Linked DNA regions of Caenorhabditis elegans. The protein of the gene in region 1 interacts with the protein of each later gene in a pairwise test. Each region holds a gene or a part of one and is shown on either strand. Other genes may lie near its edges.

What was found.
Region 2: the proteins of lin-48 (region 1) and nhr-31 interact in a two-hybrid assay, tested with the Caenorhabditis elegans proteins (one large-scale study listed by BioGRID).

Annotation. Positions count from the first base shown.
Region 1 is NC_003281.10:3,738,878-3,751,990, forward strand, and holds lin-48 (Transcription factor ovo-like homolog lin-48), read left to right. Parts: upstream 1-6,560; 5' UTR 6,561-6,583; coding exon 6,584-6,655; intron 6,656-6,703; coding exon 6,704-6,784; intron 6,785-6,961; coding exon 6,962-7,045; intron 7,046-7,095; coding exon 7,096-7,411; intron 7,412-7,803; coding exon 7,804-7,928; intron 7,929-8,250; coding exon 8,251-8,415; 3' UTR 8,416-8,695; downstream 8,696-13,113. Other genes in the region: F34D10.4 (C2H2-type domain-containing protein), read left to right, coding at 1-126, 310-495; arcp-1 (ANK_REP_REGION domain-containing protein), read right to left, coding at 8,721-8,816, 9,404-9,823, 9,879-10,079, 10,419-10,688, 10,768-10,869, 10,915-11,115, 11,484-11,864, 12,273-12,370 and 1 more. UniProt on the Caenorhabditis elegans protein: Transcription factor. Involved in development of the hindgut, the male tail, and the excretory duct cell. Involved in modulating function of excretory duct cells. Plays a role in left/right patterning of cell fates in the hindgut.
Region 2 is NC_003282.8:8,023,551-8,036,663, forward strand, and holds the start of nhr-31 (Nuclear hormone receptor family member nhr-31), read right to left. Parts: upstream 5,964-13,113; 5' UTR 5,873-5,963; coding exon 5,766-5,872; intron 5,108-5,765; exon of another isoform or gene 4,961-5,107; intron 2,488-4,960; coding exon 2,210-2,487; intron 2,127-2,209; coding exon 1,972-2,126; intron 1,696-1,971; coding exon 1,214-1,695; intron 1,114-1,213; coding exon 840-1,113; intron 795-839; coding exon 621-794; intron 421-620; coding exon 271-420; intron 1-270. UniProt on the Caenorhabditis elegans protein: Orphan nuclear receptor.

The DNA.
Region 1 (13,113 bases):
CCTACGATTGCTCCAAATGCTGCCGGAACTCCACCACCGCAGTCGGTCGCCGCCATGCTGGAGCCGAAGGAAGAGTCTGAAGAAGACGAACCGTCGACCTCCGCAAGTGTTCCTTTTCAAAGAAGGGTACGGGTCGTTTTTATAGTTTCGTGATGTTCAGATTTCGGCTAGGGAGCAAAATTTTTAGATTTTTTTGAAAAAGGTAGTATTTGATATAGATCGGTCTGCTGAAAACTTTGAGCTCTAACTATCTGAAGAACTTATTGTAAACCCTTTTTTAAAATCATTCCCAAACAATTATTTTTCCAGATGAACTCTCCTCAAACTCATGCGACAAGCTACGCGAGGCGCAGTGATGGAAAGCGTCACCCATCGAAATCGCGAAGCTCCAGGGATGACCGAGCCAATAGGCGTGACCGAGATCGGGATTCTGACGGACGCTGTGGAGATGACCGCCGACGGGACCACCGCAGCCATCCGTATGAGCGACATTAATCGAGGTTCTCATGTACCATCATTATTGACTCGATTTTTTAAAAGAAAGGAACAACATTTCATTTTTCCTTCAAAGTATTTATTTTTTTCTAAATTTTATCCCCCTTTCAGGAGAAAATAGATCTCCAACCCCCTCCCCCGTATTTATAACATAATAGTATTTTCCCCATAATGTGCGATTTTTAACGGATCTCTCTTTCTGTCCACATTAATTTTTTTCTAAATTTTATTCCCCTTTCAAGTGAAAATAGATCTCCGACCCCCTCCCACTTATTTATAATATAGTAATAGTATTTTCCCCATAATGTGCCATTTCTGTCCACATTAATTTTTTTGTGTGCCTTTTTCTTGTCATCCGCTTTTTTTTGTTTTTATAAAAGTAATTACCAGTTTAACAAGCTTTTCCTCCGACACTTTCAGATGTACGTGGTAAGAGTCGATCTATGCTGTCTATAGGCTGTTTTGGCTTAAAAACCATTCCAAAGATGTGAGTGCGGATGAATCTGCGAAAAATTTAATTTCATCTGAAAAATCAGAAATTTGCGACGCCACCTAGTGGCCGCGAACAATAATCGGTAGGTCGCGTTGCAGACAAGGAGGTAGGCGTGGGTCGCCTTGTAAGCCAGGAGGTAGGCGTAGGTCGCCTTGTAGGCAAGGAGGAAGACGTAGGTCACCTTGAAAACTGCAAAAAGTAGGCCGCCTTGTAGGTAAGGAGGTAGGTGTAGGCCGCCTTGTAGGCAGAGAGATAGGCGTAGGTCGCCTTGTAGGCAAGGAGTTAGGCGTAGGTCACCTTGTAGGCAAGGAGGTAGGAGTAGGTCGAGTTGTAGGCAAGGAGGTAGGCGTAGGTCGCCTTGTAGGCAAGGAGGAAGGCGTAGGTCACCTTGTAGGCAGAGAGGTAGGCGCACGGCCCGGCAAGTGGTACATCCATGCAAATGCGCTCTACTGATAATTTGAGTGTAGACCAGGTTTGGGCGCGTGATAACGAAAAAAGCTTTGGTCCAAAAAAATTTAGAATTTAATTTCGGACATTTTTTATATGCATCACAAAAAAACTGGACCAACCGTTTTTGAGATACACGCGCCCAAACGTCCAGGTATACGGTAGACAAATTGCGTACAGGTACCACTGCTCGGGCCGTGAGGCGTAGGTAGCCTTGTAGGCAAGGAGGTAGGCGTAGGTCACCTTGTAGGCCAGGAGGTAGGCGTAGGTCGCCTTGTAGGCAAGGAGGTAGGAGTAGGTCGACTTGTAGGTAAGGAGGTAGGCGTTGGTCGCCTTGTATTCAAGGAGGCAAGCGGAAAGGCTAAGATTGAGCTTAAACATATGCCTAGGCATTTCCAGGCGTCAGTGCCTACAATTTGAGATCTATCAATACGGCGGAATTGATTTCCAAGAGGACATTTTGTGATTGGCCTTCCCTCTTAAAAAGCTTCTGCATCTGTAAATAAGCTTCTCCTCCATCCACCATAAAGTGCAAATCGGGAAGTGTCAACAATTAGCAAAGGAAGACAGTTACCCAACGGAAGGACCCAAACGAAAATAACGATGCATTGAAGTGAGAAGAAGTAATAAAGGATGATCGGCTGGGGTCGTCAGGTTCTTAATAACAGACACAAAAGAAACACACACACAACCGCATACTTACTGTAGAAAAGACGAAGAGGAGGCGGTGACGATTGAAAAAAGAGAGAGAGAGAGACCTTGGATTCACACAAGAATCAGTTCATTTGTAAAGTTTCGATCAAGTTTATTTAAAGCTTCATCTTACTGCCTGGAAAATTGTTCATCAACGTGAATTTTTTAAAACTTTTCTGAGCATTCTCATTTTGTTCCAGGATTTTTGGGCTTGTAAAGCAACTCGGTAAAACCTATTTTAGTTCCTGCTGATTTCAATCAAGTTGTATATAGGCCCTGGCGCCAACTGAAACATTTTGAAAAACGGTATGTAGCTTTAAATAAGGACACGGAATTCTTTTTAAATTGACTTGCAATCCCTTCCTCAACTTCAAAAACTCATATCTCGGTAGTTTTTGACTTTATCCAAAAATAGTCAACTGACAAAATACGTGAAAAAAGTTAGTGCAAGTTAAAAAAATAATAGGAATATTCATTGAAGATGGACAACTAAAATCTGAGAATTTGCTTTTTAGACTCCAAATAGCCCAAAACTGCTGAACTTTGAATGAGACAATTTGAAAATTTCTCAAAAAAGTTAAGGCGGTTCAAAACTTTGTAAAAAATGGCCTGTGTACACATTAATTGGGAATTATTGTTAACAGCTGATTTTTGTATGATTTTTGCCAAATGAATAAATAAAAATCAATAAATAATCTGAACAATCAGTAAGACACCAATTCCTACTAGTTTTGGGTTCCGATGCACCATGTTTCTTCTTCAGTTCTCTCAGTTTCGCAACCCATTTTGCTCTACTTTGATATCATATATCTTGGGTTTTTATAGTTTTATTAAAAACAAGATCAACTGTTTACATTTTTATTGTTCAACAATTTTTTATTTACTCAAAAATAGCGGAGATATAAGCGGCCAAAGTAGAGCAAACGAGAGGGGGGCAAGGCTACAGTACTCCAATTATTTGTGTCATTTCTCCGGTCTCGCAATCATCTTGGTCCGTTCCAATAAAAAAAGAAGCTTCCTCCGATATTTCTAATTCATCTTTCTCGTTATTCTCAAGTTAAATTGACTTCACCAGGAGGTCGTGTTCATCGTCACCTTCTAGCAAATCGTCATGTCATTTCAAATGTCTCTCCGCTCATTTTGTCCCGGTAGAAAAAAGTTGAAGCATCAGGCGGCGTTTCTAATGTGGTGGTCGTATGTCGAATATATATCCGTATAATTAGTGTATGTTGTCTGAAGGTGTGAGGTCCCCAAGGCGGAAAGAAGGCGCGCGCGCGCGAGTTTTGTCCGCAATTTGCCGGAAAATATGGCGCGGATTTTGATGATGGAGGAGATGGAGGGGAGGAGGACAGGAAAGGCGCAAGTTTGCGGTGCGCGATTTACCGTAACGAAACGACGATTGAAAAAAGGAGAAGAAGAAGGGCGGTTACGTATTTCCACCGTAACATGACCGTATCATTGTTTGATGTTTCCATACTTGTTCTTCTCCGTTTTGTATCTTTCGTGGTGGGACCAAAAGGTCACTGTACTCTTTTTCTGAAATTTTGGATCACTATGTCTTTTGGATTTTTTTTGGTAATTTTAAGGAAAGGTCCCGCCACGAAAGGGCATACTTTTTATATACATATTTTGAGTGAGACGGACTCCAAAATATTTGAATTTGAGTTTTTCAAATGGAACAATCTTCCAGCTAACTCGGAATGTATTAGAAAAGCGGCATGTAGGCATGAAGCCGATCTTGTAAAATTGGAGAGATTTTTTTAAAATAGACATTTCCTTTTACTTTTATTTTTTAACTATAGTTCGGTGGCGTTCCAAATTGGGCGAATGACGGCGAGATGAACGACTAGAGTTGTGCCCAAAGAATACGTAATGTGCACATTGTCTAAAAAGTACTTACTCGTTCAAAACTACATTTCTCCGTATTTGGAGGTGTGCTGTATCACCCTGAAAACTCATTCCATCCCGACCTTGCCAATTCCTCTCGCCAAACTGGCTGATCAACCAGTGATTCAAAAACGTGTCCCTCCGTCTTCTCATCTCTTCCTTACCGTCACGCTTCATAAATGCACCGTGCGCGCGCGCGCCGTCATCGTTGTCTTCAGAAGATCCCACAGTTTCAACACCTCTTTTGTGATGATATAGACGCAGACAGCGTGACGCCCTGATACGGTAGAATGCAAAAAAAAGAAGAGGAAAAAGGTAATCGTTCCGTCTCCTCTCTCAAAATCAAATATACAAACACAAGGGGAGGTCCTATACCGCTGATATTGCGGACCGACTGAAGCGACGCGGGTTTATGTGATACCGTACCCCTTCCTCACCGGTATACAACTGGTTGCATCTTCATTGTTGTGTTTTATTTTGTTTTGGAGAATTGAACAATTTCAGTTATTTCTACGAACTACGAAAATGAGATGAGTCTTATCGCAAAAAAATAAGTAAATTTATTTTCGCGACGAGACCCAAATTTGGGGTTTGTTGCGGGACCTCAATGCGATTTTTCATTAAATTGATATCTGTGTTCTTATCAATGAAAAAAGTTCTTGCGTTCTCAGCCGCCACTATTATCTCACCCTTATCACTTTTTTCCTGATAGATATCAAAAACGACTTTTATGACACTTTTCTCCCGTTACTTGTTAATTAATTTGATATATCGCTGGTATTTGAATTCAGTTTTTTGAACTTTATATTAAATTTGGAAATTTTTAATTGCCGGTAAAAGAGAGTACGGTAGTTGGAAAGTTTTTTTTTCGCTCGTGCCAGGACCCATGGCCGTAATTTTAGGAGAAAAATCACAAAAAGATTGAGAAAACTAGGCCACTCATTAAAAATAAGAATTTTAAGATTTACTGTAACTTAATTTAGTTTTTCTCGCAAAAATATGATAGCCACATTTTTGAGTTCATCGAAAGTTTCAGAGTATCATCTAAATTCCAAGAAAAAACCACTTCGGCACAGTAATACCTGCCTGCATCTAAGACAACCTTCGCCTGCCTTGTGCCTGAATACGTGCCTATTGCCTACCTTGCCTGCTCAGATACATAATGCCAAAGTTCATTCCAACAAGAAGAAGGCGCTAGGCGGCGGCTTGTAGGCATGTAGGCATGTAGACAGGAAAACGCGCCTTTGGAACTTGTTTTCTTTTTTTTTCAGTTTTTTTTTTTGAAAGTTCGTTCTCAAAAAAAAAGCAGAAAAAGAAGAAAACTTCGAAACCCCTTCCCTGAACGATTACGCAATAATCCCCCTCTCTTCCTTTTTCAAAACGGTCTTCATGTCTGCCTACCGTAATCCTCTTGTAGTCACGGCCAACCTGCCTTCTAATCGCCACAAGCTCATCCGTTGCTAAACGTTCCCCCATCTTGGCATTGGGCAACTGTTTCTTCTTCTGGTGCCATACACAATTGTTTTGTTGTTCCTCTCTTTCCAATTGATGCTTCTTCTTCTTCTCTCTAGAAACCGCTTCTCAAGTGCGCCAAGTGCTCATCCGTTTCACCAACACACAAAAGGGAAGAAGGGGGAACTGTAACCGTCTACTAGTTGCCTAATATACTTGTGTCATATATCCTTACAATTATATTAATATATCTACATGTAAGAAGAAGTTTCATGTCCCTTCTTGCATCATTTTTATATTTTCTGGCAATTTGCAGAAATTATTTTGGGGGATTTTTAAAAATTTTCAACAAAAATAAAAATAGTTTTTCAAGTGAACCAAATATTTATCTATGTTTCTAGCTCAAATTTTGAAACAATTCGATTAGGTAATTTTTCTCTCAGATATTTCAGTTTTCCAGCCAAAAACTGAAGATTTTTCTGTCTTACTGAAATTTCCTGTTATAAATGCAACTTTTTCAAAACTATATGCACAAAAAACACAAAAAAATATTTAAAAAAATACAAAATATTTTTTTCGGATTTTTTTTATTGTTGAACTAAAAATGGTTTTGGGAGAGTTTCGTGAAAATTACCCAACTTTTTTTTGTGGTTTAGGTCTAGGCTTAGACTTAAGCTTAGGCTTAAGATTAGGCTCAAGCTAGGGCTTAGGCTCAGGCTTTGCTTTAGGCTCAGTCTTCCAGCGTAGGCTTCAGCTTAGGCATAAGCTTTGGCTTAAGCCTAGGCTTCGGCTTGTGGGAACGCTCAATAGTTTTGTGTACCTCTCCCCTAAACCATCCCAGAAAAATCCTAAATTTCACTTTCGGTTTCATGATTATCCTCTCCCTACCGTGATTTTGTGCTCTCGGAGCCAACACCTCCATATTCCAATTATTCCCGACATCCGAGACATTGTACCTATTATTATCTGGCGCCGAGTATTTGAAATAATTGCCGGATTGGATTTCTTCGGTGATAACACACCCCGCCCCGACTCGGACGCTTCCGCTTGTTGTTCCTTGTTTGGAAAAAATTCCACAAAATCATCACAAAAATTTTCAGCTCTGCTCAATTTCAGATGGATTCACGGGTATGGCTGCCGCTGATTGGAGCGCATTTGCTGCCTCGAGACATTAGTGTTATTACTCAGGTATTTGAGTCTTGATTTCAAAAAAAAAACTTGAAAGTGTGAATTCAGATGATTGCAAATAATAATAATACATCAATTTCGAGAAGTAGCACCAATAGCAGCAAACCCGAAGAGAAGAATTCGAAAAAGGTAGGAATGGAAAGTTGGTGGCCTAGAAAATTAGAAATCTCGGCCATCTTGAAATTTTTATCTAATATTTTTTGTTCTGAAACCGCCTGAAATTATCTTTTTCGTTTTGAACCGCGTAGCCTAGATAGACACATTGGCAGGCACAATACTTATCTACGATGAAAGGAACATTTTCAGTTTCTCATTGAACGATTTCTCGATGATGATCCTTCACCACCAGCATCGATTCTTTCGCCATCACCCAAGGCAGCCATACCCAGTGTAAGACGCTAATCAAGGAAAATTCTAAATTTTTTTTTTCTGATTTTCAGCCAATTATAAATCCAGCAGTGGAGTTTGTAAACGGAGGCTACGGAGTCAAAAACCCCCTGGCTCCGTTGATCAGCTCCTTCGAAACCACCTCAATTCCGTGTTCAACAGTATCTCCTTCATCCCTCATCTCCTCCAGCAAAGACGAGTTCCAAGATTCATTAACCTGTCACATTTGCGGCAAAAAGTTCGGTTTACAACGTCTTCTGAACCGTCACATAAAGTGTCATAGTGACCTGAAACGGTATCTATGCACATTTTGTGGAAAGGGTTTCAACGATACATTCGACTTAAAAAGGCATACCAGAACACATACAGGTACCTCTCAACACTTTAAAGTACTCCTCTACCTCTGCCACCAATTCATAACCACTAATTTGTCGTTCTTCTTACCCTCCGTTGACTTACGGTTGGAAGACAATTGTCTGCGTCTGTTTGTCTAGCACACTGCTTTTTTGTGGGGTGTCATTGAATCCATTGTAGCGAAGCGTAATATTCCACACATTTTCACCGCAAATTGTCGACGATTCTAACTTGATTTACGGTGGAAAATCAAGGGGACCACATTAAAATTGAAACCGACAACACGTTCTGCTCATTTTAATGTATTTCTAAAAAGTTATTTGAATAGAAAATTGTTTAATAATAAATTCAAAAATAAGCAGACAAAGGCAGGCGTGCCTATCTACCTATGACCTTCTGTATTCCAGGCGTCCGTCCCTACAAATGTGAGCAATGCGAGAAGTCGTTCACTCAACGATGCTCCTTGGAATCCCATTTACGGAAAGTTCACGGTGTCACTCATCAATATGCCTACAAAGAGCGTCGTAGTAAGGTGAGTTGACAGAAAGGTATGCATGTCTGCCTACGCCTGCGTGCCTACTCTCAAAGTAGACTCAAACAATAGACAAAATAGAAATAGAAAATAGGCATGTAGGCATGTAGACATGTAGGCATGTAGACATGTAGGCATGTAGGCATGAAGGTACGTAGGCATGTAGGCATGTAGGCATGTAGGCATGTAGGCATGTAGGCATGTAGGCATGTAGGCATGTAGGCATGTAGGCATGTAGGCATGTAGGCATGTAGGCATGTAGGCATCTAGGCATCTAGGCATCTAGGCACACACCGACCGACAATAACTTCTACATTTCCAGGTATTCGTCTGTGAAGATTGTGGTTATACGGACGAAAAGTTCGAAGTCTATCTATCTCACATCAAGGTAGTACACCCCTTCTCGGCCGCCTACCTTCGGTTTACACAGCTTCAGAAAAAGAACTCATCGATGAAACCCGAACAACTTTCCAAGATCTCCCTATAATACTCACCTTTTTTCCTATTTAATTTTTAATTTTTTTTAGAAATTAGCTATTTTCCAAAAATCCTCCAAATCATCGTCATTTCCCCATTTGTTGGTGATCCTTTTTGCACCCCCGTGACTGATTTATTAACCCCAATGACACTATTTTCTCTCCGTCCAAGACCCTTTTCACCCATTTCTGTCTTCTAGATGATTCCATGATGTATTTAACTTATACCAATGACAACAAATTTTCCCAAAAAATGACACATTTTATTGAAATAAAAAAGTTTCTCCTTTTTTTATTCTTAAAAAATGTGTTGAAATCAATGACTTCCATTGTGACGTGGAATTTCTACGACGTATTTTGAGAGCCACTCGGCAATAAATCCAATAGGGTCGGCAGGACGGCGAAGTAGAACCTGAAAAAAAATAAATGCTTAAAATTGCAGCGGACATTTAACGGGTTCAGCATAATCTCTGAAGCGTGCGCGCGAAGTGTCGGCCGCTTTACTAAAGCCTTATGATGTCGGCTGCCAAACACGTTTTCTAGTTGGCACTTAAAATTTGTCAGTTTCTCGAGTAGTCGACATCTCATGGTTTTGTTATAACCCTAATCCTTATTTCCCGCTAGTGAGGTGCCGGCAGTTATACTAAGATGTTTTGAAATTTTGCTGTCAATAAAAAAGAAAGCGGCCGACATCTCCCTGCTTCAAATCCTAGCCCTAACCCATGAAGAGTCGGCTGCTGTACATGAGTGCTGACTTAAAATTTACTGGCGGCCATAAAAATAGAAGCGCCCGACGTCGGCCGGTTATGCTGAACACCTAATGGCTGATCCGTGAGGAGTCGGCTGCTTTGAAAAGTGTCATTCGTACTGGCAAAGAACGTGAAAGCGGCCGACATATCCCGGGTCACCTCTAAATCGTCGGCTGCTATGGCCGACACAACTACGAAACACGGGTCCAGCCCGCGAAACGTCAGCCGCTACTAATTTTACAATACCTACCTCTGCCAGCGCTTTAGTCAAAACAGGCGCCACCGTCCTTGCGAGATATACTCCATTCTCCGACGTTGGCAAATCAATCTTCCCTCTGAACGCCTTCTCAAACCGATGCCTTTCAATACTTTCATCCTCATCATCCAACATACGTGCACTATCAATGAATGACCCTTCACTTCCTGAATCAGGTGTAGCTGGAGAATCAATCAATGGCCCATCCTCTAAATACTCCTCATTTATAGTCTCAAAATCTTCATCCCGATCCTTGATAAGTTTCAAATCAATAACTGCATTCCTTCGGTAATAATCAGGTGTTCTTCCTTCGTTATCAACAGCCATCGGATCGGCTCCAGCTTTTCCAAGAATTTTCAGGTAATGACCTCCATCTCTTGCCGCGGCAGCGTAATGCATTGCAGTTCGCTTATTCTGGAAAAGGATCCAAATTAACTTATTTAGGTCTTTAAAAATCTAAAATCCTTACATAATCAGGAGCATTTAAAACAGAGTTATAGTGTCCTGCAATATACCGGACAATTTCAGTGTGCTCATGAACAACTGCAGAATGCAAAGGTGTACATCCAAATCGATCTCTTGCAATTGCTAATTTTTTCGTCTTCATTAGTTCTTTAACTTTGTCCAAGTTGCCTTCTTTTATTGATTTATGGATTCCATCGATTTTGTCCTGGAATTTGAATTTCTTTTTTTTATTTAATAAATTTAATCGGGCATTTTAGATTTCTTGAATTTTCCAAAAAATCAATTTAATTTTTTTCAATTTTTTCGGAAACTCTAATATAAAAAAGTTATAATTTTTTAACTTTCGAAAAGTTAAATTTTTTTGAAAAATAAATTTGATTACTGTTCCGATTTTTTGATTACTGTTCCGATTCATAATCATAAATAAATTGTATTTTTTATGTTTGAAAAAAACAACAATTTTTCGGTTTTTTTATTGAAAAAGTAGGCAGGCGTAAGCCGCCTTTCAAGGCAAACCGGCAGACATTTTTGCACCTCAACCCACCATATAATCCGGTAATCTATCCAAAAATGCCTGAGTTTCCGTATGAGTCGATGTCCGACTTTGCAGCAAGTCTCCACATCCCGACAACACCAATTGCTCCAATTTCGCCAGCTGTCCATCACGGAGCCATTGTTGAATTGAGGATTCTAGATAGCTTGGAGCAACTCTATTATGTAAGACTTGTTTTAAAGCTGCTCGAGTGTCGAGTCGCATTGCTGATAGATCGATTTCTCCGGTATGTTTTAAGTAGTATTTTGCAGGGCGACCATTCTGAAAATTATTATTTATAATATTTTTCATTTTTTTGAAATATTTTTGCGCTCATGGTGCATCGGAGAAATCAACTTACACAATCATAAATATTCGGATCAGCTCCAGATTTCCTCATAACCTTATACAAGTATCCTCCGTCTTTCAATGCGGCTGCGTAGTGAAGTGGAGTCCTTTTCTTCTGCAAATTTATTTACTTTTTAAAATTTAAACCCCAGAAGCCAACCTGATCCATAGCGTTCACAGACTGCGGATAATTTCGAATAAGGTATTTTGCAATATCAGTTCGTTCAAAAACAATTGCCTTGTGAAGTGGAGAAAGGCCTCGGGTATCTCTACAAAGTGATAGCTTCTTACGATCAGTCAACAACTTGACGGCTCGAAGATTTCCTGTTTCGACTGCTTTGTGGATTGATTGGATCTTTGCCTGGAAATAAGATATATAAACTTGTTATTAGTTGAGTAGTATTATAGTTCCATACGGTATCTATAAATAAATATGGTAAACTTTAAAAGTTGCGCGTCAAATTTGATGTATTGAGATGACACTGTGTAAGTTTTAAATAATTGTGACGTCATACGCTTTGTTTACGGCTATAAGTCATCTGGCCTAAATAAGTTATGCACGGTGGCCTAGTAAACGCAGTTGCAGATTGAACAAGCAGCTTCTCAAATTATTCCAGACAATTCTCAAAGATATTCAGAATTTCATTCAAACTTTCCACAATTTTTTAAAATTTATCTAGAACTCTCCAGAATATTCCAAAAATTTTCAGACAAGTCCATGATCCTCACCTGATATTGAGGTAGCACTTCTAAAAATCCAATACTATCAGCATCATCAACTTCATGATTCCTTCCCAATAATAAATCTGCATACCCGGTAAGCACCAATTCTTCCAACTTTCCAATATTTCCAGTATGAATCCAATCATAAATATCCTCTTCTAAATCTTGTAACAACGGCCTGCTCAACTGTCCCGAAATGAGTTGATTCATAACCGCGTTGTCTTTCATCGATCGAACATTCAATCGTTGACCGTGTGTTCGATAATAGAATGGAGTATGACCGTGTTTATCCTCTATAAATGCGTCTCCACCACTTTTCTGCAGCACTTTTATCATATGTTCACCATTTGGATCAGCAGCAGCGTAGTGGAGTGGGGTTCGGCCAGCCTGGAAATTTTTAAGAAGTTTTTGAAGTAAGCAAGAATTACGAGAATATTATGCCCTTTTAAATTAAAACAAATTCTAACATTTTTTTTCAAAGGCGATTTGTTAAACACCCCGTTAGATACTGAGTCTACGAGGATTCCAAAAATTCTCTGCAAAGAATTTCTCTATCTACTGATATAAATAAATTCAAGGTTCATGAAATCAAGAACTCAGAAAATATTGAAAATCAATGTTTTCTATATAATTCAATTCCCTAAAAACTAAAAAAGAAGGAAAAAGAAGCCATTCGAATTGCTCGACAAAATGATGTATAAGAAAAGAAAGAAAAGAGGATTTGTTGTTGTTTTTGGTGAGGATTTGGGTGTGCTCGTTGAGCCAGCTAGATGGGAAAAAATATGAAAAACTGACGTGATCAGTGGCGTTCACACAGCTTGGGAAGCGGCCAAGAAGGAAGCGCACTGTGTTTGTTTGGCCATGAAGTAATGCTTTATGAATTGGCGTCATTCCTGAAAGATTGTGATGATGATTACAGGAAACGGAAGATCAAAAGTTTAATTTGAAGAAGTTGCAAGGAAGTTTTCAAATCGAAAAATGAAATTTCAAAACACCAGTTTTTTCGAGATCTGAGCTCTTTTTTACTTTTCTCGCAAACTTTCCCACCGCTCTTCTCGGATTTTCCAAAAAAGTTTAAAAGCCTTCCAGCCAGTTCTCCAACTTTCTAAGAAGTTTCTCCACTCTCTACTACATTTCCCCAATTTTCTCGCGCTCTTCTCTAATAGTAAGCAACATTTTCCAAATTGGTGGGAAATTTCCTTAACTCTCTAGTATATATATCCTGAGATTACCTAAAAAGCTGGAAAAGCGCGCTGGAGAGTAGGAAAAGTTTGCAAAACTAAAATGAAACCCACCATAATTATCTCTGGCAGTTGATAAAAGCGGCCGATCAATCAATGATTTAACTCTTCGAACATCTCCTTCCTCAACTGCTTTGTGTATTGCATCAATTTTCGTTAAATACTGTGTAAGTCCCGACAGAAATTCGTTACTTGAAGCATTAACCGTCTTCTTCTCTCTAAGCATATGTCCTCTTCCATCAAGCACGATTTGTTCAAGCTTCAGAACTTCACCGGTTGCCAACCATTCTTCAACTTGTTCCTCTGATGGTGCGTCTGAAAAAATTATATATATTTTTTGGTATTTGTTTAAAACTTTTCTAAAAATGCATTCTAGATGCTTCACAGGTTTTGCG
Region 2 (13,113 bases), on another chromosome or scaffold:
TAGAAATAGAAATTCCCAAGAAAAAAATGTTAAGAGACTTGGAGCGAGTTAGCAAAAATAGGTACCGATTTGTATAAAAGAAAAATCGATAATAGTCACAGCCTCTATCTGAGCTTTTTTGAACGTTTTTCAAACTTCTTGTATATTCTTAAGAATATGTTTGTGTAAAACGCATTGAAGCTAGTTCCCTCAATTTAGAATCTTTACTATCCAAGAAAGTTTCAACATATTTTCCCTCAAATTCCATAAATATTTTCAAACTTCTCTCACCATTGGAGGAGAGTATCCAGCATTAAGCATGGAGCTACATGAATTTGAATGTGGAAGATATGGTCCAGATGATAACAAATCATCATTTGTCTGTGTTGCCACATCTACCCTTCTCACGAATCTTCGATCAGACATTGGCGGTGAGATACTCTGCAAACAAACAAGAAATTAGATTTTTGCACACTCTTATCATTGCCATTTATCAGTTGGTAGTTGGCAAATTTCAACTTTCAATTCTCCGAGAAACTCCGAAATTTTATAGTTTTAATGAGTTTATAGTTTTAATGACAATTAAAAGAAAAAGATAATGATATAAAGTTTGATCTTTCAGTCATTTTTAGTGAACTGACCTCTAAACAAATTTCAGCTGGATTCTCGAATAGTGGTGGGCTAATGCTGCTGCTGATAAGTTGATCATCAAATGTTCTATCTCCAAACATTTCAGCTAACAAGTTATCTCCACTTGCACGTCCTCCAAGAGCTTGACAGAAATGCATGTTTTCAGACATCAATCCGGAAAGAGTCTGAAATGTTTTGAAATAGAGAATGCAACAGTAATGACGACTAACAGTAATTGTTGGCAGAAGAAGCAACAAGTTTCCAAATCGGCTGCTTGCAGAATAGATTGGATGAAGCTCCTTGACAATTTGGAAAAGCATATCTTGAACTTTATCTCTCAACTCAGAAATCGCGTGCCTCGCATGCTCGGATAGTCCTTTTGCATTTGGATTTAAAATAATAATTGCTTTTAATGGAACAATTTCTTCTTCTTTCAGATTTAATTTTCTCAATGGAGCCACCAATTCATTTAACGTTCGATCAATCAGGAAGTTTGAGAGATGACTGAATAAATCAAATTAATTTTCTTTAATTTTAAATAGTATTTTTCATATATTTTTATTGCGTTGATAAAAATTGGAATTAAATTAAAATTCCAACTTACTTTGTCTCATTAAACTCTGGAGGCAATCTTCTTGGAACAAATGAATGACTGCAAAGACACAAAATATCCGGATTCTTCGTATTCTGAGCAGTTCTCGCAGAGAAATTGAAAATAGTTAACGGCGAGTAACAACTTTTAACCAATGCAACTTTATCTTCAGTATCAACTGCATCCGCAATTTCAGTTAATGAATCAACCCAATCAACAGCTGCAATTGCTCTTCTATGAGCAATTACTCCAAGTTCTTCAGTTCTTGCCATTCGAAATGGTTCATAACCAATTTCCATCCGTCGACCATCTAATGCAGGTTTTGATTCAAACATTTCCCGTAATGAAATACTTTTTGGATCTTTTGCAGTGTTTTGTGCACTCATATTATTATCTCCTTTTACTACTTTATCCTCAATACTCATCAATTGCATTAATAAAATTCGAGTCTCGACAGGAAGTTTTCGTGACCAATCATCTCCTTGTAACCGCATCTGAAAATTTCAAGTATTAATTTATACATCATTCATGTATAGTGTAAGTTATTCTGGATTTTATCAACAACACAAACTAAATTTTAACTGTTTGAATATGCATAAACATTTTTCACTCGATTATTCCAGAACAAATAGAAAACATCACAAAAAACACTCAAATCATTTTGAGATTTTCCATAATTTTATGTCAAGTTTTTGTGAATTGTCAAATTTTTGGAAATTTTAAATTTGCCACCAGTTTTTTTTCAGTGTATCTACATTTTCAAAACATACCATATGATTTAAAAGCTCCTCATCAATTTGCTTCTTCTTAATTCTTGGAACTTTCTGTTTTCCTGTCTGATCCCTATCCGGCCTGACTGCTTTTGGATCCATTCCTGCTTGAATACAACGTTGAAATCTGCAGTATCGGCAACTATTTCGCTGGACTGAAAACCGAAACTTCAGGTATTTTCTTGATTATAAAGATACTCAGTCAAGTATATTCGAATTTATTCTTTAAAAAACTTACATTTATCAACAATACAATTATTTGAGAATCTGCATGCATATCGATATTTTCCAGTCAGTGTTCTTCTAAAGAATCCTTTACATCCATAACATGCAAGTACTCCATAATGTAATTTTGCAATTCCGTCACCACAAACAGCACAAACTGAATCTCCATTCTGTGATCCACCACTAGAAACTGTGGGTTGCTTGTCACTGGGCCTGATGATATATGACGTGGCGGGACCACTTGATGACGTGGCACCGCTTGTCCTTAAATCTCCTCGCATCATTGGAACTCTGGAAATTTTAAAGTTAAAAGATCGGGAAAATTAGTTTCAAACACAAAAATAATAAAATTTAAAAACTAGAGTGTGTCCTTGAAATTTTGATTTCTTGATCTTCCCACAATAATTTGTGTCTTGGAAAATACAACGTTTTTTGGTGAAGACGGAATTACATTTTTCAAGTGATTAAACTTTCAAAAGAGTATTATATTTGATACGGTTTTTTCAGTTTCAAAATTGCAAAATTTTGTGTGTGGAAGCGGAATTGAAAGTCGATAGGCACTTTTTTGTTATTGTAAAAATTCATTGCTTAATCGGAGCTAAATGTGCAAAGTTTTCTAGCCAAAAGGCATTTAAGAATCCAATTAAAAAATCATTGGAACAGTGACCAATTCCATTGATGATAAAAAAAATTCATAATTTCAATTTGTTGCAAACTATCAAAGTTCACACATCAAAAAGACCAAAAAGTTCCACGTGGAAAAACTGACGTATTTGGGGGAATACCTATGGGGCGGTGTCTCTCTATGATAATATTACAAAATGGGGGAAATTAAGTGGGAGTGACATTGAAATAAAAGGAGATGAAGGAGGAGAAGACGACGACGATTTACTGATAACAAGGCGAAAGAGACACTGATTTGAAATAAAGAAGAAGAAGAATACAAAACAGAAGACGCTTGAGAGGATGAAGAGAAAATGAAAACATAAAGATTAGATGTCACTAAGGTTTTGAACAAATAGTAAATAATTTGTTTAAAACATTTTAACACCTGTAACTTTATTTTAGAACAGTATTTAAGCTTGTTTTTCACATCAATTACTTGTTTTTTAAATCAATTACACCAGTACAAAATAATTTTTTGTTGATAAACTACTTGTATATTTGAAAAAATGCACTCCCAAAAACATTATTTTCTCAATTAATCTTGCTCAACTTTGGCACCTGATATCTTGGCTATTTTCGATTGAATCAATTTAAAATCAACTGGCAGCAGATGTATTATTAATTTTTCTATAGTTTCAAAGCTTAACTTTTTTTTTGTTGAAACGAACGGAGGTATATACTTTCACAGTAAAATAGTCCGAGTTTTTGAAGTTTCATAAGCGTTTTTGAAGAATTATCATGCCAGATTTCGAACAGTTCCTAGTTAGGAACTATACTGACCAAAAGAGACTGTCGAGAAAATAAGAACCAAAGGAAGAGAGATAGTAATGGAAAAAAGAGAATCGAAGAAAAGAAACGAGAGAAAAATATGAGGTGGTTCGTGTCCGAAATCTCGACCTCCGAACAAGGCAAGTAAACAGGCGCGAACCTTTCCTCAAAGCACGCACACAATGATGATTTCCGCTTCGTTTATCCGCACAGAATTTTTTTTCTTCATTTTACAAGAATTTATTACCTATCAATCTTATAACCCTTGTCCCCCTGTAGGCTTGCCAGACTTGCCAATCACTTTCTAGGTCATTCTACTAGAGGAGGGAAAGGTGATAAAGATACATGAAACACAGACGAGAAACGGATGATGTCAGTAATAAATTAGAGATAGCTTTTAGCATAGGATGCCTATATTCTCCAATCAAACACTTAAATCTTCTTTCTGTTTATCCTTAATTCTAAATTAAAAATCAACGATTCGAATCAGTAAATGTATGATGTCATATTTATATCAAGACGTGCAGACTAATTGGGCTAATTGGATGTATTGCCTTTTTGTAAAGATATATTAGAAGATCAAATGATAGAGCCTCTGACTACAAGGATCCAAAATGTCACCAAAATAAATAAAATCGTAATGCTTTTTGTCTATCGAATTTTTTTACGGGTCTCATAAAATTGGAGGAGGCATTTGGAGATAAGATAACTTGTATCAATTGTTGTTTACAGCTGAATAAGGAAAAGGTTATTGGATAGGATAGGGGAAGTTAACATATACTAGTTTATCTATAAGTAGATGCTGAATTGTGATCTAGAATCAAAGCTGGATTATATTTTAAAATACTTTAATTATCCTGTTTAAGCTTTGCACACGAACAAACTACTAACTAGAGATTTTTTCAAATTCAAATATTTTATACTAAAAGTAAAAACCCGCAAAAATTATTTTTCGAATCGAGTAGAGAATACTTTTAGCTATTAACCTTGTGGAGTGAATACTAAACTGTCTTTCTGAAAACTTCTAAGAATATAATCAAAATTGAATCTCAAAAGAAACTTCTCACTAAATTAAGTGATCTTCTTCAACCGAAGAACACATCTGACTCATATGAACCGATGCAGTTCGTCTCGGTTTCTTGTAGCAAATTCCTTTTATCAATCACAATCATATCTTTCTTCATTCATTCAAATTGATCGATTACCGTCCTTGAACCCTTTTATTTTACTTTTTCTCAATTTCCATGTAAACCATTCCTCAAGTAGCATTCAAATCACAAAGATCATTCACCTATCCCTTTTTATCGCAATTTGATCATTCTTCGCGCGCATCTTGTCACGTGCCTCTTCACTCATTTCCACGCCAAATTTCAAAGTTTCCACGTGGCAGGGTTACTACTAAAGTGGCAAGACAGTAGTATTTACGATCGACGCGCTTTTACAAAGTATGTGTGAGATGGTGGTGATCAGAGGTAGTAGTGCCATTGATAAAATTGCAAATTATTATCACAAAAATGGTTGTTGCGTCGTGGCGGGGCAAGAATAAGATAACAAAGGGGAGACTCTGTCCTATACAAAAGGGAATTAGAATTAAAATGCAAATAGAACACGTACTTGCAGCTTCTTGAAAACTATCTAATGGCTCTAATGAGTTGAGATAATTGCTCAAAAGTTCATTTAAATCATTGTCAATTGATCTGAAAACGTCAGAAGATCAGCGATTGATTGCCAAAATGTCGTAATTTCTTTGAAACTATCAAATGCTTTGATATCAGAATAGATGTAAAAGTTTAAGGCCTGAAGGGATTTTGTATCACATTGACTTTGAATAAATTTAGATTTAGCATTAAATGGGGTTTCAAGTAAATCTTTTCTTTTCAATTTTCAATGTTTTTATCAAAGAGCCACTAGAGCTATATATTTGAGATAAAATTTTTTGGCGGCTTCGGTAAACAAAATTTTTTGAAAATTATTTATCTCACAAGTTCAAAAAATTAAAGAAAAAACTATGAAATGATCTCCAACTGATCAATTGAGCAAATAAATCTTAATAATTTGATATTAATTCTCAAAAAAGTTAGGGTTATGATGCAAGTTCAAATGCACAGAAAAGTTATAATAATCGATTTACTAACCTTTCAACTTTCACAACTCTTGTACCAGGTCTTATTGCATAAGTTGGTTCTTCTTCAAGATATTCATCACCCCAATACTCCCAATCTTCGACATCAAGTTGTTCCATTTTAACAGATGGTGCTGCAAACGGCAGCGTCGATATGGGAAAAATTTTGAATTAATTGAAATTAAAATTCGTGTTCTTCTATTTGTTGTTGCTGGAAAAAAGTATATATAAATGTATACATATTAAAGCAACGGATTTCAGAAAAATAAACGGTGAAAATGAAAGAAAAAGGGACGGTAATTGTGGTCGGAAGGTGGACAGGAGGATAGACGGACGGACAGGATGGATAGACGGTCAGGCGGATTATTAAACGGGTTTAGGTTTCATTTGTATATATAAATATATGAATGTGTTTAGATGAAAATATATATGAAAACGGAAAGAAATTAAACGGTCAATGTATTGAGGTGTCGGGTTATCACATCTTTTAATGAGATTTTGAACGTAATTTCTCTGTAATTAAGAAAATTCAATTTTAAATAAAATTATCTCCAGAAATAGAAAATTACTTATTTGACTAGATTCTACATAGTTTGTTTTAAAACCTTTCTTTAATAATAAAATATTATTTACATCCCGTAATTTATATATGGATTCCTTTTACCTTTCTCTAAGTGAATTAAAGTTAAGAAAAAAAATCGAACGGTCAGTTTAATGTGTACTACCTCTTGTACGTCCAAGTGGATCATTTCAAAAACATTGTTAAGTTCTAATCAAATATTGATAAAGTTAGGTAACGACTCAACCAGTCGCACTTTTCTTATTTTTATTTGATTTATTGGAGAAAGAAACGAGAGTAGGTTTCCATTTATTATCTATTTCTCGTTTTTCTAAATTAATATTTTCATTTTAGAATTTAAGAATTAGCTTCTGATAATAGTTCATGTCCCCCTTACAAATCAGAGTCTAACGTGGCAGCAGCCAAAAATTTGTGATTGATGATAACGAGTGACGGTGGCGGAGAAGGACGCAAAAAAAGTTTGCCAAGCCAATTCAGCAAGCTGGCACACCACCGATTATTGTTCTGATAACTGAAAAAAACCACGTGTGAAGAAGAGGAGCTGCCAAGAGATTAAGGATTGTTTAGTGGACATTTTAAATTTAGAAATCCTTTTTTGAAATTTGGAAAAATATGAATAAATGAAGCTTGAAGATTCAACAAAATTTATGTTATCAATAACCAAACATTGTTATGTTTTCTTCAAATGTTCTAAACTTTTGGTAATTCTCGGAGTTGGACCAATTCAAACAATATACAATTCAAAACTATTTTGGAACCATCCAGAATACTATGGAATTAACATGAAATAGAAACATAAACGTGTAAGTTATGTAAATGAAAATATGGAATAACCGAAACTTGTTAAAAATGCAAAATGACGGAGCGGATTGGTGAAAAGAAATACGGAGAGGATTATGAAAATGTATATGGCTACTAGATTATACAGTACTTTGAACTATTCGTAGATCATTTCAGCTCTATGACGACCACAACGATTGTCCGATTGTTCTTTTCAGATTTTTGAACTTTTAAGCGAAAAAAATTGAATTTTAAAAGTTATAATGTAAAGAATACACATTAATATGAGTCGAACTCTTGGAGATTATAGAAAATATTTAAAATTCTTAATAAAAGTTGAATAGACTTTCTGACTTTACTTGATTTAATCAAACTGTTCTTCGATAATAAATTGGCACAAACTGATAATAACCTGCCAATAAATCATATATTTGTGTTTCGACTTTTACTAAAGATTCTGCAACATTGAGACGTGAGATGGGAAATCCCAAGTTGATGGTTTCAAATAGAAAAGGAAAAGAAAAAAGAAACAAATAAAATATGATGGTTCTGGTGACTGTGTGTGTTCCGCCTGAATAGTAACGTAACAACGACGGGATTTTGGGCGATAGGGGGACACATCAAGGGACACCAACAGTAAAATGCAAATTGGGGGCGGGCGCAATTTGTGTGTGGGGAGAAAAACTATTGAGAAGGAGGAGAAGATGAAATTGGTGAGAAATTGAGGAGGAGGCGGAGACATAATAAGATATGATGAAAATATCTGTTTTTAGAGGTACACGAGGCTTGAAGTTGCAACAAAACCATTTGGTTAAACAACTAAAACAACAAACTACCGATTTGATTAGGACAGTTAAATGTTATGAAAAGGTCATTGAAAAAGGACTATCGGTTGAAATTGTTTTGGATGATACGGTCATGAAATGAGAAACAAGGAGGTCTATTAATAGAATCACACAGTTAAGAACATGGCCTATTTGTGTTGGGATTTTTTTAGAGTTGAAAGCATGAGCACCAGATTTCAATAGGAATATTCATAAGCTACCTAACATGGAAAATTAAAATTTTTAATTTTTTGATTTCTAACGGTATCGAATAATAAGAAATAGACTCCATATCAAAAATTGGATTCAGTTTCTGTACTGAACTTGAATTTTAACATTTCGATCGTTGTTGATAAAGGTCAGTTGCCAATGGAGAAATTGTCAAAACCCCCTTTTTTTGACGAGCTCCAAAAAAGCGGGCAAAACTGTTTAAAACAGAATAACAAATTAAATTTATTTTCAAAGTTTTACTATTTGGTAATTTTGGCACCATAGGTTTAAAAAAAATTCCCCACTGGCTCTAAATACTCCATCTTTAAATATAAATTTTTGAAATGATTAGTTTGATTCAAAACTCTTCTAATATTGTGCCAGCAATTTTCCAACAGTCTATCAATTTCTATCAACACTAATCTGCTAACCTACGTATTGCCAACAATCACTTCCGAATTCCAAATGTTTCTCTATCTCTCTCTCCTCCCGTTCATATGAAAAGTTCAAACCTCAACTACACCAACTAGCTGATATTACTTATTTCTTACAATTTCTTATCATTGTAAGTTTCTCGGAATTCAATTTGCTCCCACAACCATCATATTGTCTTGACATATCGAGACGTAAACTGATAAGAACGACAACTTGGCATGATTTGTGGTTGATCTACTTACTGAAGTGTTGCTTCACAAATTATAAATACTTTCAACAAACGGCTCATTATCAAATTAAGACAATTTTGTACTCTCTCCTACTGCCGACTTTCCTGCGTCATTATCACCGGAATGCTGTACAGAGCAGCAGAAGGTCGAAAGTTACAAGGATGACTTTGAAAATAAGTGAAAGCTTGCAGTTCATTCAGAAAAAGAAGGCGGGAGGGCATGTTACCTTAAGAATCGAAAGTTTAGGAGGTTTAATGTACTAAGACTCTTAGGGCTCCTTACAGGAATTTGGTGATAAAAAATGAAAAGAAAGAACCTTAGAAGATCAAAGGTGGACAAATACAAAATATTGCACCAGTTTGTTCTATGATAGTGAAGAAGTCCTGAAGGATTACCTGGTAACGAAAAAAGACTTTAACATGCAATGTTTCAGCTATTCTTTAATGGCCAGCTTCTTTGTGAGTTTCTCAGTTAACAATTAGGATAAAAACTTTTGGGAATTCCACCTTTTCTGACACTATTTTCGAGAACAACGAGAAATCTGCTTTTGTCAAAAACACGAAAAACGTAAAAAAAAGAAGTGAGTCCTGTCTAGTGTCAGATTAGAATTTAAAACTAATGTCAGTCTCCTAGGAGAAAACTGAAAACTGAGCCAATTTTCCTTATTTAATACTCTTTTGAAATAGTTAACTGCTGACAGATAAGTTCAAAATGTCCTGTTTTGTGTTCATTCCTATTTTGTGACTATCAGTTTAATTCGTCGTATCCTGCTTTTTTATGAAAAAAAGAAAGATGATGACAACCTGACTTTTCCCGGAGATTGTGAAATGACGTCAGACTTTCTGAACTATTGTACATTCCACAGTTTCTTTTTCTTTTTTCTTGATTTAAAGATCGTTTGATAAGTTGCAGCGACTTCTTCATAAATTAAAAATAAAAATTGGGGATTTGTAGGAATAGCTATTTTATTTCCGATCTCGACGATCAACTGATAACGAATTCCGAAAAAAACGAAGACAGAAAAAGAAAAGTTTGATCTCTCTAATCGTTTGATTTCCGCTTTTCATCATAACGTGTTGCACGTTGTTCAACAATTTAACCTAGTAATATTTATCAACTTTATGAGTCTGAAACTGATCAAGTTGATATTTTCATGATACTGATGATACACGGGAATGATGATTGGAAAAGGAAAATGCTAAAGTTTGCACATTGGATCAAGTTTGTAATCGAGAAGGTGGGTCTCTTGATTTTTGAAATTCATTTGTTTAGTTTTAAGAATCATACAAAGAACAATATAATGACGCTTTGGCATACATCAAGGTGTAGTAAAGTTCAATTCGTTCATGGAAAACTGTAGTAGGAAAATAAAATTTTCCAAATTAAAAAAAATAGGATAAAAGGAACTGATAGGTTTCTCATAGCAATTGACTTAAAACTAGAAACTAATAGAAAGTGTGTGAATTGGCAATTGGTTAAAAATCACTTTATCTTTAATTATAAGCTGCTTTAATTATGAGTAAACCAATTAATCAATGAGTATTTTTTATGTATATTAACCCAAAAAACCCAAAAAATTTCAAACCCAAAAAAATTTGAATAATAACTCAAAATTCGAAGACAACAAATAATTTTCAAAAAGAAAATGAACATTGCTGAAGGAAATGAGTCATGTGCAGGGGAACGTAGCAATCGAACAATATTATTAGTTCAATCGAAAGTCAGTTGCCTCTTTTCCTATCACACACAATCAAACGCATCAAGAATACAAAAAAATTCTCTGGAACGCTGTTCCTTACAATATTTTATCTCAATTCTCTAACAGAAAAAACCGAAAAAGTACAAAAAATTCCCACGCGATTTCAAAAACTCTATTGAATCCGTATTCTATTCATCTGCAACTCTTGCCACGTCACCAGATATCTCTCTGAAAATCAAAAAATTAAAAAAGGAAATGTTTCAAAGATTACGCCAAGTGACGAAAAAGGAATAAAAGTTGAAAAAGAATGACGAAAAATCGGGGAAGAGCACTTCCAAAAATCGTAAACTTTAATGATAACGATGAGAATTTGTAAGAGGGTGTGAGAATTAGACGATGCAAATAGTCTGGAGAGAGAATAAAAAATAAAACAAGATTTTGGAAATTCACCGATTGATATGAGTCATAGAAACATGATAATATGTCGAACACGATTGTGATTTTTGCTTTCATACGAAAATTATATGACATCAATAAAAAAAAGTGATATTTAATTTATGAAATTGATAATATTATATTGTAATTTTTCAAATTTTAGTAACATGTACTTAAAAGCGTACCTATTTATTCAAAAGGGTTTCGACACGAACAAATATTGCAGTAACATTACTCTTTCATTTTTTCTTCTTCCAAAAATAAAAATTAAAACATTGGACAATTAGAAGAAGAATTGGTCTTCAGAAATATCAAGAAGGCTACCAAGAACGTTTTTCCGCACCGAGTCACCCATCAAAATAAATGCACTTGTATTATTGTAGGTTCAGTTAAAAGTTTCATCAAACTGCAAATTTACGATAATTTTTCTCTGATTCCCAGAATCAAAATTTTCAATTTTTCCTAAGGGAAAACTGCAATTTGGTTTCAGGGCAAATTAAAAAAATAAAAGTAATAGTTTTAAATTTAAAAGGTTTTCGATGGATCTCTTTAATCAATCGCAAATCAAAATGAGAACACAACAGAAAATTGAGCATCTCAATTTTTTCATCATCTATCCGAACCGGTGTCTCTTTGTGTTTGGGAGTATTGAGTGCTCAGGAATTGCAAGAGGTTTGAGAGAAATGAGCAAAAAGAGATAAACAAATAAATGAAAAGGTCGCGGAAAATGAGAAGAAGCGGACACTCTCCGGACACAGTCATCCAAAGGGAACGGAAAAGTTAAAATGGGCGGTGCCAGGAAGAATGTTAGATATTGTTGGAATTGAAGAAACTGGGGATGAAAAAGGAAAAATGGTTTGTGTGGAAGGTTGGGGCACACGGTCAGTTGAATCAAAACAATGTGAGTCACGGGCGCCTATCGAACAGATGATGAGCAAGAAAAAAAGTTTGTTATGAAATTTGTTTGTTTTCTGGATACACAAGCTTTTGGTTTCAACTGAGCACGCGAAAAACTCAGCAATGTCCAGAAGTTTTGGGATAAAAACAAGCATGTAGTATAAGGAAGAAATTGGTTGAGGCTTCACGGGCCCTGAGAAATTTCTAGCACTGCACCCCCACAGTGTTTAGTTGAAACAAGGGAGAATACATCAAATTATGGATTATATTTACCAACTTCCAAAGTTAAGATAGTGGGAACCAAATTCTCCTCACTTTTTGAGTGTAAATAATTTTTTGAAAAATTTTACTATAATGCCATAATGCCTTGTTTAAAACTAATTTTCAAAGACTGAAGATGCCAAAAAATCAGCTAAAACTGATTTTTCAATAATAATAGAACATTCAAGCATATTTTAATTACATTTTTTAAAACATGACAATAATGAATCATTGAAATAAAATGTTTATTTGTGGGCGTAATCGCCTAGATCGTTAAAATGACAATTCTGTGATACTTTGATATTCTTGATATTGTTATCTATTCAAGTAATAGATTTCAAATGTTTAGAAACACCAATGTAAGACCTTTCTGTTGATTAAATACCTAAACACAGTCCTACAGAAAACACATTAACATCCGCCCACAACTCGTAAAGAATCTCAGTAATTTAAGATCATTTTGAGTCTATTTTGTGCAAAACACAACAAAAAACATCCAAATGAAATCATTCAGTGACCATGAACAAATAGTTCAAAAAGTTTTTGCTGAATCATTCAGAATCTAAACAAATATTTAACTTTTGTATTTTTTAATTTTTGCAATGATCACTTGATAGCTACCCTTGTGATAGAGTATCAATGAAAGATCATGCTTCTTCAGCTGAAAAGTAGACAAGTTTGTTAATAAGCTCAGTTTTATAGTTGGCAAATAGTGTATGACAGAAGCAAAGAAAACTGTCTGAATGACGATTGTAGAAAATTTCTGAACAATACGGTTTCAACTTTTAAAGATCTTTTTATAGACTAACGTGTTAATCAAATAAAATTAAAAGACCTGTATGTAGATTGAAATTGATTTCAAATTGGAAATCAAATCAACATAACATCAAAAAACGAATAAGGAAAATTCAAAGATTCTTGTCCAAAGATGATATTTCCTATTTTCTCAGTTCTTCTGAGACACAAATGGATAGGTTGACAATGCATCAAATACAGAGACAGTTCTCTTT